Pelodiscus sinensis: one gene and its partner. The protein of the gene in region 2 interacts with the protein of the main gene of each other region in a pairwise test. Links are inferred from orthologs where the notes say so. Each region holds a gene or a part of one and is shown on either strand. Other genes may lie near its edges.

Region 1 (7,590 bases), on a different chromosome or scaffold from region 2:
TCACACCAAGCAAGAAATAAAACATTAGAAACACACTCTGAACTTTTAAATGGGGTTGTGTAGTATCAACTTTATAGCCCTTCTGACTAAACACAGATTTTTTTGGAATGGCCATTGATTTCTCACCCATATGCTCTCTAAACATGGGTTTGAGCCCTAAAATAGGGAGCCTTAAAACAGTGCAACATTGTATCCTGGCAGGACAATGGATGTTCCAAAACCAGAGTCCTGGTAAAGGGCTGGTGGCAGCAGGGCTACCCGCCAGGACCAGGAAGCCAGCAGTAGGTGTGTGTGTCTGGGGAGGAGCGATGGAGACAGCTAAGACCACTGGCCAGGCCAGGGCTGGGGGGAGGGTCAGTGGCAGGGGGATGTGAAATGACCTCCCCATGTCTAGCAAAACCCCTCATCCTGAACCAGTCAGGTCCTGAGGGTGCCAGACCAAGGAGGTCCAACCTGTAGTGACATAAGATGCCTGACCTGTATGTGACTCAGAAGCTAGGCTTCAATTGCCCTTAAAAAGACACTTAGCCTATGTCTACACTGCCCTCTCTTGTGCAAAATATGCAAATGAGGAAAGGCGGTGAATATCACCACACCTCATTTGCATACTTAATGAGCCACCATTTTTGTGCAAAAATCCCCTCTTGAGCACGAGACAGTCTGCTGCTTTTTTTGGGAAGAACGGCTCTTGCACACAAGGGGGTTTTTGTGCAAAAAGGAGCCGTATAGACATCTCCTTTTTGTGCAAAAGCCCCATGCGCAAAATGGCAGCTCATTAAGTATGCAAATGAGGCACAGCAATATTCACCACTTCAGCTCATTTGCATATTCTCTTGCGCAAGAGAAGGCAGTGTAGGCATTGCCTGAACGTTTGTAATGGACTTTCATTTATTTATAACAAAATTAAAGTTTAGAAAGTTTGTTTAGGCACATCACTAATGGTCACTACCTTTCACAAAAACAGTGTTGGTTTTTTTTGTTTGTTTTTAAAATATCACCAAGGCAGTCCCTAGTAGGGTGTGGGGGCCCGGAAAAAATCAGCCTATTTCTAATCTGCTGGGGGGAGGGGAGGGAAGAGGGATGCTCCTTCTGACTCTGCCCAGGTCTTGCCCTGACTCCATTCCTTCCCCAGTGCCCCACCTCCACCCTGCCTCTTCCTAACCAGTTTTGCCCCCTCTCCCTTGCACCTCCTGACAACCTGAAACAGCTGATTCCTGGCAGGCAGTAGGTGCTGCAAGGGGCCTGGCAGTAGGGGGCAGGAAGAAGAGGCATTGACAGGGACTAGCCAAACACCCAACACTTTTTTTCTTCCTCTGAGTGCCTTAGGTTAAGAGCACCCACAGAGTTGGTGCCTATGTCTGCTATTGCCAGAGATTAAGCCTGAGCACTGCACAACATTCACACACAAAGGGCAGGAGTAGTTGTCTCAACTTGCCATACCCAAGGGACAGACCTAACTATCACACAGAAGTACACTGGAAACCAAATGCAAAGGAGCAGAGAGAACAGAAATGGTCTGATTTTGCCAGCTTGGGAGGAACTGCTTCAGCTCACAGATTTTAGCTGGGAATGAGCTCAGAGCAATGACACAAGACACTTTGAAGTTGTGCTCCCCAAACACTCTGACAGCCATTATAGCAGTAGTTCTCAAACTTTTTGGCCCACTGCCCACCCCTCTCAATGCAAACCTTTCTGTGGACCACTAGCCAACTACCCATGATACAAAATGGGTGCAGAAGGGGGTGGGAAGTATGAGGTCTGGGCAGGAGAGAGGGGCAGGAGTGGCCTGGGCTAGGGGCAGGGGTCTGGGCTAGAATGTAACAGTGTAGTCAATTAACTGATAAGCAAAAGCTTATAGGTTAACGCTATAGACTACACGCATTTCCCTCCCCTCCCAACCAGTAAATCTTTTAGCAGGTTGACCAGCAGCCCAGCTCAGTTCTGGCTCACACCGGGTCTGTGACTGACCACTGCTGTGGCTCTCCATTTAAAGTGTAGTAGGAGCCAGGAAGACAGGCAGCCCAACTCAGTTCTGGTTCGTGCTGGGTCTGGGAGCTCAGACCGCCCCCTGCACTTTTGTCTCTTTATCAGAGGCAGCAGCACAGGGCTACAAGCCGCCAGTCCACAAGCAGAACTGGTTTTTAAACTGGCTCCCCTCACGGATAGTCCTGCCTGGCACTCTGCACAGCTTCTGGTCCCGCCCCAGCGACTATAGAATAGTTGACCAAGCAAGAAGAATTCATGAGGTTATTCAACTAACTGATATTTAACATCCCTAGTCTGGGCAATGAAGGGGGTGGCGGGGCCACTTCCATGGCTCTATGCTTCCTACTGTTCTCAGGCACTGCCCCCGCTACTCCTATTTTTGGCCAGGATTCCGGCCAATGGGAGCAGTAGGGAAAGCCTCCAGGCAAGCTATTTCCAATGTTGCCATTCCCCCAGCAAGAGAGAGGGGGAGTGGCAGTGCACAAAGCAACTTCGTACCCATGTGCGCCAGATCCAGCCTAGGCGGCTCAGGGCACTCCCCTCTCCCACCCTCCCCGCGGCAGGGAGCCAGCGCTGTCACTCCAACCTCACAGGGGAGGGAAGGTGCGCGCGGCTGCAGCACCAGGGAGAGGGCCGGGAAGGAGGGAAGCGCTGAGGCCGCGGCCCACCTGCACCACCACGCGCCGGCGACTTGCCCCAGCGTTCCATGAGCGGCCCACGCGCCAGCGGCGGCGATTTCCAACTGGAGACACACGAGCTCGGGGCCAGCGTGACGTCACTGGCGAGGGGCGCGAGACGGCTGCGCGGCCACAAAACACCGCAGCGCAGCTCCCCGACCCAGGCTCTGGCTTCACAAGCGAGGATCGAGCCGCAACTGTCCCCCCCCCCCCCGCCGCGGGGAGCGAGAGAAGAGAAACCGCCATCGAGCCGCGTCACACAGCCCCGGAACGCTCTGCTGGGGGGCGGGGCTACCCCGCGGGGGCCACAGGCGAGGCAGAGGGGAGCAGCCCCAGGGGCAGGGTCTCTTCCAACCCCCGCGCCTGGGGGGGGGGGGGAAGAGGGAGCGACTGGCCCCCCCCCTGCCTGGGGGTGGGGAGGCCGCACCTTGGTCAGGTCGATGCCGGAGCCCACGAGGGGCAGCCCGTCCTCGTCCATCCCCCGCGGCCAGTCAGGGAGGCGCGGCGGGAAAACGCGGAACGAAGTCACCACTGCCCGCCCCGCCCGGAAGCCGCCAGCACTCCGAGCCGAGATTAACCTCTCCCCCCGGATACAAAACCCGCTCGGCTGGGCAGGTCCGGAGACTGGTAGACTAGCCTATTGTCCCGGCGCCTGCGCACACGCTACCGGAGACTGCGGAAACGCCCTTCCCCCTTCATCCCCCCCCCCATTGCATCATGGGAATTGTAGGCGGGAGGGGCAGCGGCTGGCTCTGACTCTTAAAGTGGGCTTCAGCGTTCTCTCCCGCCACGTGCCTGCTACGCTTTTCCCTTTAGTGCCATCTTGCGGCGCCCACTGCCTGCGGGGCGGTCACACGCTCGCTCCCCAGAGGTTGCGCGCCACACTTCCAGGTTTGGATTTTTTAACCCTTGTCTATTCCAGGAGACACGCTGGATTTCTTCAGCATTAATCCACAATGTGTACTGCTGACGCAGCTCCGCAGCCCTGCCAGGCTGTTCTGACGCTCCCACTGAATAACTTCTTAATAGTCATAGCATCACATTTAAGAGCACGAGTTAAATAAATAAAACCCCATGAGCCATAACTCCAGCTGCACAAATGCCATGAAATTACAAGGGAGGGACCTACACAGTAGGCTTTTTATGTGAAGGGGAGTGAGGAAAGGCGCACAGGCCCCAGTTCAGAGATCCATCCCTATTCAGCAAAGTGCTTCCATACATGGTGAATTTTAGGCTCATGTTTAAATCCCACTCACCTCAACAGGATGCATTCAGCATTTACAGGTGCCAAGTCCTGGAGCATTCATAGTCATTTTTAAATATACATGGAGTACCTAACACAAAGAGGTAGCTCAATATATTTGACAAATATAGCCGGGGCTGGTTGCATGTCTCCTGGCTGGGGCAGGACTAGGTTTATCTGCCCCCTGTGCTCCCCAGCCAGAGGGAGGAATGCAGCAAATTGTACTTTCCCCTTACTCCCTTATGAAGGGGAACAGCCAGCAATGTTCCCATTAGGGATGTTAAATATTGGTTAATTCAATAGTCGATTAATCTCATGAATTCTTGTCGGTTAGTCGACTATTCTATAGTCCCTGGGTGTGGGGCTGGAAGCTAATGTGCCTCCTCCCCACCCACAAGGATCCCTCTGCCACTCCATACTGCTGCCTCTGTATCAGTGGCAGCAGCGTGGGGTGCCAGGTGAGATCTGGTCCACAAGGAGAGAGTTTAAAAAACCAGTTCCCCTTGTGGAACGGCTGCCTGTTGCCCCGTGCTACTGCCTCTGATACAGAAGCAGCAGCGCAGGGTGGCAGCAGCTTTGTCCAGGGGAGGGGCTGAGCTTCTGGACCTGGCATGAACTAGAACTGAACCAGGCTACCTGCCCACCTGGCTCCTAATACACATCTAATGCAAAGCTGCAGCAGGGTAGGTCCTGGACTAGGCACAAGCTAGGACTGAGCTGGGCTGCTGGCCAGCCTGCTAAAAAATTTACCTGCAGAGGGTAGGGGAGGAATGCATGGGGGGAGAGGGGGAGGCTTTAGCCACCCCTCCAAAGGATGCCCTGAGGAGTGGGAGGCTCAGGGCTGGGGCAGTCCCAGAGGAGCGGGGTGCACTCCCAGTCAGCTCCTTTCACCTGTCTGGTGATTGTTTGTTTTCTGTATGGTTTTATGAGAATCAATCTCATTCCAGGCACATCCAAACACTTACCTTGCTGTAAGTTAGGATAAGAGGAAGCTGTATACTGAATTTGGTGGTCTTATCTCTTACCATTCAGGAGCAGTTCTTGAAGACAGACAGACAGAGATGAATAGACAGACAGACAGACAAACTCTCAAATATACAGTAGTCACCCAGTATCTATATTTATCAAATATATTGAGCTACCTTTGTGTTATGTATCTAATGTATCTTTCAAAGGTGACTATGAATACTCAAGGGTTTAGCACCTCTAAATGCTGGGTGCTTAAAATGGTGGATATGAAAAAAATTGACTCATTTTTCCCCATAGAGCTTCTGCATAACTAGAGTAAAGAGGGTTCAGGTAAGTCCTGAAAAGCAGTGACTTTGTAAAGAATTTAGATACTCCATCCAGCTGAACATGAGCTCCCAATGAAATGCTCTCTCTAACATAAACCATCAGTATTTGAACAAGGAAGTAATGAGTCTCAGTCTGTGTCTACACTGGCGCGATCTCGCACAAAAGCGGCCACTCTTGCGTAAAAACTTGTTGCCTGTCTACACTGGCCGCATGTTCTTGTACAAGTAAACTGACATTCTAATGTATGAAATCAGGGCTTCTTGCACCAGAACTCTGATGCTCCCGCTCAGGAATAAGCCCTTTTGCACAACTGTTCTTGCGCAAGAGGCCAGTGTAGACAGGCAACATGAATTTCTTGCGCAAGAAAGCCCGATGGCTAAAATGGCCATCAGAGCTTTCTTGCGCAAGAGAGCGTTTACATCTCTTGTGCAAAAGCACGTCAGTGTAGACTCTCTCTTCTGGAAGAGTTTTTGCACAAGAACTCTTCCGTAAAAGAGTTTTTGCGTGAGAACGCGCCAGTGTAGACGTAGCCTCAGAGGGGTAACTGTGTTGTTTTTACAATTACAGACTAGTGAGCATTCCTGTGGCACCTTAGAGACTAACGAATTTATTAGGTCAGATAAATTGGAGATGAAATTACAGAATTTGAGGTATATATAACAGCAAAAGAAGTTACCTGTCAATTGTAGGACCAGTGTTAACTAAACTAATTAAGTGAAGGTGGATGTGTTTAATTCACAGCATTTGATGTGTAGATGCAAATATCAAAAGTGGGGAAAATGCCTTTGTAGCGTGTTAACCAGTTAAGATCTTTATTGAAGCATAAGTTGGTAGCATTGAACTTGTAAATGAATTCCAGTTCAGCAGTCTCCCTCTGTAATCAGGTGATAAAATTCTTTTGTATAAGGATGGCTACTTTAAAATCCATTATTGAATACCCAAAGAAGTTAAAATGTTTTCTTACAGGTTTATGTGTATTACCATTCCTGATGTCTGATTTGTGTCTATTTATCCGTTGGTGCAGAGACTGTCTGGTTTGACCAATATACATGACAGAGTCATTGCTGGCATATATCACATTAGTTAATATGCAGGTGTATGAGCCCCCAAAGCTGTGGCTTACATGGTTAGATCCTGTAATGGTGTCATTTGTATAGATATGTGGACAGTTGGCAGCACAGTGGTGCTGAGGCAGCCTCCCTGCCTGCCCTTGCTCAGTGCATCTCCAGGAAACAGCCAGCATGTCCAGCACTGCCTTTGCCCCTGAACGTTGGCTCCATAGCTCTTATTGACAATGAACCATGGCCAATGGGAGCTGTGGGGGTGGTGCCTCCTCACTCCTCTGCCTAGGATCCAGAACAACATTTTGGCACTTCTGGGAACCACCTGAAGTATGTATCACCCAGCCAGAGCCTCACCCCAAACTTCTTCCCACATCCTAGCTCCCTTTCAGAGCTATCATCCTCATCTGCACCTTAAACCCCTCATTCCTGGCCCCTACCCCAGAGCCTGCGCCCCTAGATGGAGACTTCATCCCTTCCCATTCCTCAATCCCCTGCCCTAACCCAGAGCTTGCTCCTGCATCCTGAACCCTCCATTTCTGCCACACACATTCTCTCCCCCCCACCCCCCACCTGTATCCTCACCCAGAGCCGTCCCTCCCAACTCAGCCCTCTGCCTCAGCCAGGTGAGAGTGAGTGTGGGTGAGGGAGAATTAATGATGGAGGGAGGGGGATGGAACAAGTAAGAGGTGGGGCCTCAGAGAAGAGTCAGGATTTCAGAGAAGGGGCAAGGGACAAGGCAAGGGTTTGCATTTAGAAAGTTTGCAAACCTAGCAGGAATACAAAATTTGGGGAAACTTAACCTTCCCCAATTTCCATTACATGTCACCTATGTCCTAGATATTTCAATTTGAGAACTTAAAAGGAATGGACACGTAGCAATTTCAACCTTCCCAGATCCCTAGCTGTATAAGAGGGAGAATACCATCTTACTTCAGAATGGGGTTGTGAAGCTATATTGGTTAATATTCGTGAAACAGAAACTAAAGTGATGAACACTATAGAGCAGTGTTTCATAAACTTTTTAAGACTGAGGAACAAAATTTTTTTTATGAGGAACACCAAGGATTTTTTTGTTGAGCAAAAAAAAAGTCCAGGGGAAAGTTATTGAGCAAATAACTCCAGAACACAGTTTAAGAGCATATTATTAATTTTTTAGTTAGGGCAGGCTTTGGGTAGACTGTGTGTAACAAGGCCTGTGTCCACATATTGAATGTGGAGAAAAAGAAATATCAAATAGCTTACCTTTTACTGAATATGGCAGGGATGTCATGAAAAAAATAGTATGTGATTGTATAAATAGTGTTACAAAATATGTACTCACAAG
Region 2 (7,901 bases):
GATCCCCGGATTTCTGCAACCACATCCACGGAGGCAGTGACCCGCAGATACGAAGCAGGAAGCCGCGGCCCGGCAGGAGACAGGCTCCTTGGAGAATCCGACCCAATGACCTGAGGAGCAACGTGGAACCGTGCCGGGCGGGGGTGACTTACGCTCCTCCAGCTCTTCCTGCAATTCCTTGCTGCGCGCCTGGCTGTCCTGCAGCTCCTGGCTCAGAGCCTGCTTAGCTATGGCAAGACCAAGCGGGTTGGGGGGAAGGTGAGGAGAGAGAGAGAGAGACTTCTTTGGGGCTGGAGAGGTGGGGTGTGTAATGAGGAGGGGTGGATAGACGGAGGGGTGTACGTGGGGAGGGGTAGACAGAGGGGTTCCACGAGGAGTAACGGTAGTTCGGAATAGGAAGCCTAATCCGAACTACCTAGTCCGTGCCGCGTGTAGCCGTGGGCACAGAGTCCGAACTAGCGGACATTTAAAAATGGCGGCGCCCGGCAATATGCAAATGAAGCCCGGGAAATTCAAATCCCAGGCTTCATTTGCAACTTCGGTTGCCTACATTAACCACCCTAGTTCGAACTAGGGCGGTAGTGTAGACATACCCCTATTTAGCAATTCAAATGTTGGCGGGGACATGGGGGGCAGTGCTACGGTCCCGGCAATGAGGGTGCGGGGGAACAGGCTGTAACGGGAGCACTCTCCCTTCCCTTCCCCTCCCCTCCCCTCACCTCGCTGCAGTTTCCTGAGCCTTCCTACCAGGTCGTCCATTCGGGGCTCCAGTGTCCCTGCTGCGGAGGGAAGGGGAAGGGCTTGCCTGGTTGTGCTCCTGACAAGGGTCCTTCACCCCCAGCTCTTTGGAGCGTGCCCGGGGGGGAAGCGGTTATTCCTGGCTCCGCTTACGGAGGGGCAGGGGACTGAGACACAGAGAAGTCACACCGAAAGTCATGGGCAGAGCCAGGAAAAGAACAAGAGCCCCCCCCTTACAGACTCCAGGCTAGATGCCCCCCTCCTCCCAGAGCTGGGGAGAAAACCCAAGTGTCCTGGCTTGCAGGCCTCCCCCCCCGCCCCGCCTCTAGGTCCCACTCCTTTCCTAGACCTGGAGGTAGAACCCAAGAATCCCAGCTTCCCCCCCCCCCCCCCCACCCCAACCACTGGACCCTACTCCCCTTGCAGGGCCAGGTACAGAGCCCAGGACTCCTAGCGCCTAGCTGCCCCCCCCCCCCCCGACCAACGTGTCCCAATCTCCTTCCAGAGCTGGGGAGAGGACCCTGATTCCCGGTTGCTTAAACACCACACCCAGCTCGTGGGTACCATCCTGCAGTTGTTTCACCAGCACTAGCAGCTCCTCTGCCTTGGGCGTGAAGCTGCTGGGAACTGGGAAGAGGAAACAAAAAAATCAATTGCTTTGAGAATTCCCCCCGAGCCTGTAACTGGGGATTTACCCGCCCCCACAACGGGCTAGAGAAGGCATTGCAGGCTGGACTCGGCTTTATCCAGCCCAGGGCACGAGGGAGACGGGCACTGTGGGATTGCCTTGGCGCTAACCCCTGCTTGGTGGGAGGAAGGCATTGGGGGCTTGCTGGTCCCTGGTGGGGGCAACAAGGGTACCGTGGCCCAACGTGTGAGGGAGCAGGGCGCTGTGAGACGCCCCCTTGGCGTGAGGGAGCAGGGTGCTGTGGGACGCCCCCCGATGTGAGGGGGCAGGGCACTGTGGGGCACCGCCCTTGGCGTGAGGGGGCAGGGCGCTGTGGGGCGCCCCCCTTGGCGTGAGGGGGCAGGGCGCTGTGGGGCGCCCTCCGGTGTGAGGGAGCAGGTCGCTGTGAGACGCCCGCCCTTGGTGTGAGGGAGCAGGGCGCTGTGGGGCGCCCCCCTTGGCGTGAGGGGGCAGGGCGCTGTGGGGCGCCCCCCTTGGCGTGAGGGGGCAGGGCGCAGTGGGACACCCCCCACCCCGGTGTGAGGGGGCAGGGCGCAGTGGGACACCCCCCACCCCGGTGTGAGGGGGCAGGGCGCTGTGGGGCGCCCCCCTTGGCATGAGGGGGCAGGGCGCAGTGGGGCACCCCCCGGTGTGAGGGGGCAGGGCGCAGTGGGACGCCCCCCCGGTGTGAGGGGGCAGGGCACAGTGGGGCGCCCCCCCCTTGGCGTGAGGGGGCAGGGCGCTGTGGAACGCTCCCCCTTGGTGTGAGGGGGCAGGGCGCTGTGGGGCGCCCCCCTTGGCGTGAGGGGGCAGGGCGCTGTGGGGCACCCCCCGGTGTGAGGAAGCAGGGCGCTGTGGGGCGCCCCCCGGTGTGAGGGGGCAGGGCGCTGTGGGACACCCCCCTTGGCGTGAGGGAGCAGGGCGCTGTGGGACGCCCCCCCGGTGTGAGGGGGCAGGGCGCAGTGGGGCGCCCCCCTTGGCGTGAGGGAGCAGGGCGCTGTGGGACGCCCCCCTTGGCGTGAGGGGGCAGGGCGCTGTGGAACGCTCCCCCTTGGTGTGAGGGGGCAGGGCGCTGTGGGGCACCCCCCTTGGCGTGAGGGGGCAGGGCGCTGTGGGGCACCCCCCGGTGTGAGGAAGCAGGGCGCTGTGGGGCACCCCCCAGTGTGAGGGGGCAGGGCGCTGTGGGGCGCCCCCCTTGGCGTGAGGGGGCAGGGTGCTGTGGGGCACCCCTTGGCGTGAGGGGGCAGGGCGCTGTGGGACACCCCCCTTGGCGTGAGGGGGCAGGGCGCTGTGAGACGCCCCCCTTGGTGTGAGGGGGCAGGGCGCTGTGAGACGCCCCCCTTGGTGTGAGGGGGCAGGGCGCTGTGGGGCGCCCCCCTTGGCGTGAGGGGGCAGGGCGCTGTGGGACGCCCCCCTTGGTGCTATGTAACTGCCATGGGCGCCCTGCGCTGTGGGGCTGGAGCTGTGCCCCCTCCGCCCATCCCCCTCACTCTGTCCACTCCTCTCCATGGCCCTGTGTCCAGAGAGCTGGGGGGGCCTTAACACCTGCGCCTAGTCGCACCGCGGGTGGAAGGGGAAGCCTTGAAACTGCCCCTCCTACGCTTTTTTCCCGCCTTTTTCCAACGGCTGCTGCGGCCCCGCCCCCTCCGGGGCTCGTGCCGTGTTTTCCAATGGCTAGGGCCCCGCCCCCTTCCAAAGAGGAGGGGCTAACTGCTCGCTGGGGGAGGGGCTGGGAGACAGGGTTCCTGGGCTCTCCCCCTGGCTGGGGGGGGGGGGGGGCTGGGAGACAGGGTTCCTGGGTTCTCCCCCTGGCTGGGGGGGCTGGGAGACAGGGTTCCTGGGTTCTCCCCCTGGGTGGGGGGGGGGGCTGGGAGACAGGGTTCCTGGGCTCTCCTCCTGGCTGGGGGGGGGGGGGGCTGGGAGACAGGGTTCCTGGGTTCTCCCCCTGGCTGGGGGGGCTGGGAGACAGGGTTCCTGGGTTCTCCCCCTGGGTGGGGGGGGGGCTGGGAGACAGGGTTCCTGGGCTCTCCTCCTGGCTGGGGGGGGGGGGGGCTGGGAGACAGGGTTCCTGGGCTCTCCCCCTGGCTGGGGGGGGGGGCTGGGAGACAGGGTTCCTGGGCTCTCCTCCTGGCTGGGGGGGGGGGGGGGGCTGGGAGACAGGGTTCCTGGGCTCTCCCCCTGGCTGGGGGGGGGGGCTGGGAGACAGGGTTCCTGGGTTCTCCCCCTGGCTGGGGGGGCTGGGAGACAGGGTTCCTGGGTTCTCCCCCTGGCTGTGGGGCGGGGGGGCTGGGAGACAGGGTTCCTGGGCTCTCCCCCTGGCTGGGGGGCGGGGGGGCTGGGAGACAGGGTTCCTGGGTTCTCCCCCTGGCTGTGGGGCGGGGGGGGGCTGGGAGACAGGGTTCCTGGGCTCTCCCTCTGGCTGTGGGGCGGGGGGGGCTGGGAGACAGGGTTCCTGGGCTCTCCCCCTGGCTATGGGGCGGGGGGGCTGGGAGACAGGGTTCCTGGGCTCTCCCTCTGGCTGTGGGGCGGGGGGGGGCTGGGAGACAGGGTTCCTGGGCTCTCCCTCTGGCTGTGGGGCGGGGGGGCTGGGAGACAGGGTTCCTGGGTTCTCCCCCTGGCTGTGGGGCGGGGGGGGGGGGCTGGGAGACAGGGTTCCTGGGCTCTCCCCCTGGCTGGGGGGGGGGCTGGGAGACAGGGCTCCTGGGCTCTCCCCCTGGCTGGGGGGGGGGGGGGCTGGGAGACAGGGTTCCTGGGCTCTCCCCCTGGCTGGGGGGGGGGGGGCCTGGGAGACAGGGTTCCTGGGTTCTCCCCCTGGCTGGGGGGGCTGGGAGACAGGGTTCCTGGGTTCTCCCCCTGGCTGGGGGGCGGGGGGGCTGGGAGACAGGGTTCCTGGGCTCTCCCCCTGGCTGGGGGGCGGGGGGGCTGGGAGACAGGGTTCCTGGGTTCTCCCCCTGGCTGTGGGGCGGGGGGGGGGGCTGGGAGACAGGGTTCCTGGGCTCTCCCTCTGGCTGTGGGGCGGGGGGGCTGGGAGACAGGGTTCCTGGGCTCTCCCCCTGGCTATGGGGCGGGGGGGCTGGGAGACAGGGTTCCTGGGTTCTCCCCCTGGCTGTGGGGCGTGGGGGGCTGGGAGACAGGGTTCCTGGGCTCTCCCTCTGGCTGTGGGGCGGGGGGGCTGGGAGACAGGGTTCCTGGGTTCTCCCCCTGGCTGTGGGGCGGGGGGGGCTGGGAGACAGGGTTCCTGGGCTCTCCCTCTGGCTGTGGGGCGGGGGGGCTGGGAGACAGGGTTCCTGGGTTCTCCCCCTGGCTGTGGGGCGGGGGGGGGGCTGGGAGACAGGGTTCCTGGGCTCTCCCCCTGGCTGGGGGGGGGGGCTGGGAGACAGGGTTCCTGGGTTCTCCCCCTGGCTGGGGGGGGGGGGCTGGGAGACAGGGTTCCTGGGTTCTCCCCCTGGCTGGGGGGGGGGGGGCTGGGAGACAGGGCTCCTGGGTTCTCCCCCTGGCTGGGGGAGGGGCTGGGAGACAGGGTTCCTGGGTTCTCCCCCTGGCTGGGGGGGGGGGGGCTGGGAGACAGGGCTCCTGGGTTCTCCCCCTGGCTGGGGGAGGGGCTGGGAGACAGGGCTCCTGGGTTCTCCCCCTGGCTGGGGGGGGGGACTGGGAGACAGGGCTCCTGGGTTCTCCCCGTAGCTGGGGGGGCTGGGAGACAGGGTTCCTGGGTTCTCCCCCTGGGTTCTCCCCCTGGCTGGGTGGGGGGGCTGGGAGCCCAGCCTCCTGAGTTCTTTTCCTGGCTGAGGGCTATGGAGGGGAGCAGGGAGCCAAGATTCCTGGGTTCTCCCCCTGGCTGTGGGGGGGTCTCTACTCAGTTTGGGGGTCCCAGTGGGTTAGAGCAGGGAACCATAGGCAGCTACCCTGGAGCATGGGACCTGCAGCTGCTCCTCCCTTGTCCCAACACCAGGCTAAGCTCATCCCAGCCTTCTGTGACAGGGCTAGATTACATCCACGCTCCCCCACATAGGACATCTCCAGTGGTCCTTGAGCTCCACCATGAAGGCAGGGTCCTGGGAGGATGTGCTAGTGGTTAGCAGCCTGGGAGACTCCCCCATAGAGAAGGGCCATAGCTGGGAGGGAGGGTAATTGGCTTGGGAAGATGGTACGGGATAGGGAGCTCTAACGACTGGCAGGGAACGAGCGATGCGCGAGGGCTGGCAGTGACTGGACAGAGGCCTAGCCTGCTCCTGTACCTCAGTGGCCCGACAAGTGCAGGAGCCTGAGCTAGGCAGCTGGCCATTGCTTGTTTCTGCCTCCCCAACCCGTGCAGATAGATTCCTGGTGCATGGAGCCCGGGGGTGGATAGCGGACCAGACCTCTCCAGGCAGCAGCTGCCTTCCTTGCACAGGCCCATCTCCTTCTGCAGAGCCCATGCACACAGCTTACAGCATGGTGTGAGCGCGAGCTGCATCTTAAAATAACAGCCGGGAGGCTCGCCTGGGTATTTTGGACTCTGGTTGGGTCCATGCTTCTATTTCCAATGTTGTAGTAGCAAGGTTAACTTGCTAGCGCAGCTGGTAGCTTCGTTTCTGCACAACAGCTCTCTCTGCACCACATCAGCACACACAAGAGTCAAGTAACAGCCTGCGGTCCAGGGTGCAATACCCCAGAAAAAACAGCTGTGAATAAGAATCGGTCATAACCTTTCTACCATGCCTTGCTGCGCTCCTTCCCTCTTCAAGAGCGGCTGAACTTGCTGCCTGTTATGTGCTCCTTATGGGAGACAGAGCGACCGTGTGCTAAGGACTGACTGGCAAGATGAGCCCCAGCTGCCATAAAGTTGCATACCTCCATCGCCAGCAGTTCACACGTGAAACGACAGAGGTTTGGCCCAAAAGACACAGTTCGCTGCTGGAACTAGTGCCCGATTTATCTCCAATTTGTGTACCTCTCCCTTCTGAATGAGCCCAGCAGCTGCGGAAGGAACACAGCCCACAGCAGGTATAATACTTAGATATGAATAACCACCTCTGCACCTGTAACTAAGTGGAACACACAGCGAGAAGAAAAGAGGCTCCTGGAGGAGAAAAATGAGTGCAGCGAATTTGGAATCACATCTTGCCTTGCTCGCCCCTGTCAAAAAGAACGGGGCTGACGGGATGGAAAACGCCAACCTCAGGCAGAGGGTTAGTGTGACAACGTTTGGGGCAAGCTCATCTGTGAGCCGACATATATCCACAGGTGAGCGTATTAAAATCGACACAAGACCTCTGGTGTGCATCCACAGCTCCCTATAGCAGAAATCCCAACACAGCTAGTATTTAGAAAGCACCAATTCCTCCTCCTCATGGCTACAGCCTCCGTGCTGGCTAGCAAGCAAGGCAGATACACCCTCATCAAAACAACTTTTTAATAAGACTTTGATTCTCAGTTCCACAAGCCAGCCAGGAAGAGACCTCATTTGACAGCCAGCCACGCCGGTTCCAGGCACAGCGCCTCATGCATGTGAAAACACTTTCCACTTCCCCAACCCCGCCAGGTCTCCTTGGAGCAGCTAGATGCAAGTGAAAGGAGATGCAGGCAGGGCTCGCTCTCCGGAGACATGGGGTGATCTTCCTGGGTGAAGCAGATCCCACAGATTCTGGCTCGAGCCCACGGCTGAGGCCCCAAACAGCCCTTCTAGCAGCCCGGATGGACAACGAGACTGAAAAGAGCCAAGGGGCAGCCCATTTACCGTAAGGCAGGGCGCAGCTGTCACCAGCAAAGGAGAGAGGCAGTCTGTTGCTTTCAAAAAGCATTTTGAATCTTCCTGTGAAAGGATCTGCCTTTCCAAAAGGGAACATTAAATTAATACAGACCCCTGCATTGGTGCAGACATTAATACAGAGGAGAGTGCATTGGTGCAGACATTAACTAACACAACCAGCCCATGGAGAGAGAACACAACATGGGGGGCATCTCCCATTTCCGATTTACAGCATCGAGAGCAGCATGTGCGGGGGACGGAGAGGAGGAGATGAAGGAGTAATCTCCTTTCCACCGCACATATTGCCGTTTCCAGACACAGCGCCCAGTTTAAATCGGTTGGCAAACATGAGCCGCTGTTTCCAGACACAGCACCCAGCTAAATCTATTATCAAACATGAGCCACAGACCTCCAGGTCCTGCAAGAAATCTAAGTTCATTCCAGGCTAGGACACTTAAAGAGCAGAGAGTGTTAGAAAAATGGGTTCAAAGCAGGTCGGGCTCTGATGCCAAGAGATGCAATTAGCCACAATTCTTCCAAAGGAAGGAGAAACACAATTGCAACCCATTGCTTAGGGACCGGCAGCTGATCCACACTGGGAAGCAGAGAACAGAGGCTCCGGGGAAAGGAGCCAAGTACTAGAAGAAAAACTTCCGTCGAGGAGATGCCATACACAAACCCAGCTTCATCATTTGGGTGGAGTCCTTCAGCACAGGCCCTTCCCGTAACAGGCCACAGGAGCCAGTGTAAGCTTGTCATGCCCCTTGG

Evidence for each region.
Region 1: the proteins of synaptonemal complex central element protein 1 (region 2) and WASHC3 interact in binary tests that used the Homo sapiens proteins (3 or more experiments, as listed by UniProt). The two-hybrid records come from large-scale screens. The link is inferred for Pelodiscus sinensis from reciprocal best matches to the Homo sapiens genes SYCE1 and WASHC3.

Annotation. Positions count from the first base shown.
Region 1 is NC_134711.1:99,545,389-99,552,978, reverse strand, and holds the start of WASHC3 (WASH complex subunit 3), read right to left. Parts: upstream 3,058-7,590; 5' UTR 2,910-3,057; coding exon 2,655-2,909; intron 1-2,654. UniProt on the Homo sapiens protein: Acts as a component of the WASH core complex that functions as a nucleation-promoting factor (NPF) at the surface of endosomes, where it recruits and activates the Arp2/3 complex to induce actin polymerization, playing a key role in the fission of tubules that serve as transport intermediates during endosome sorting.
Region 2 is NW_027465846.1:151,301-159,201, reverse strand, and holds the start of synaptonemal complex central element protein 1, read right to left. Parts: upstream 3,016-7,901; 5' UTR 2,915-3,015; coding exon 2,896-2,914; intron 1,366-2,895; coding exon 1,303-1,365; intron 780-1,302; coding exon 720-779; intron 228-719; coding exon 153-227; intron 1-152. UniProt on the Homo sapiens protein: Major component of the transverse central element of synaptonemal complexes (SCS), formed between homologous chromosomes during meiotic prophase. Requires SYCP1 in order to be incorporated into the central element.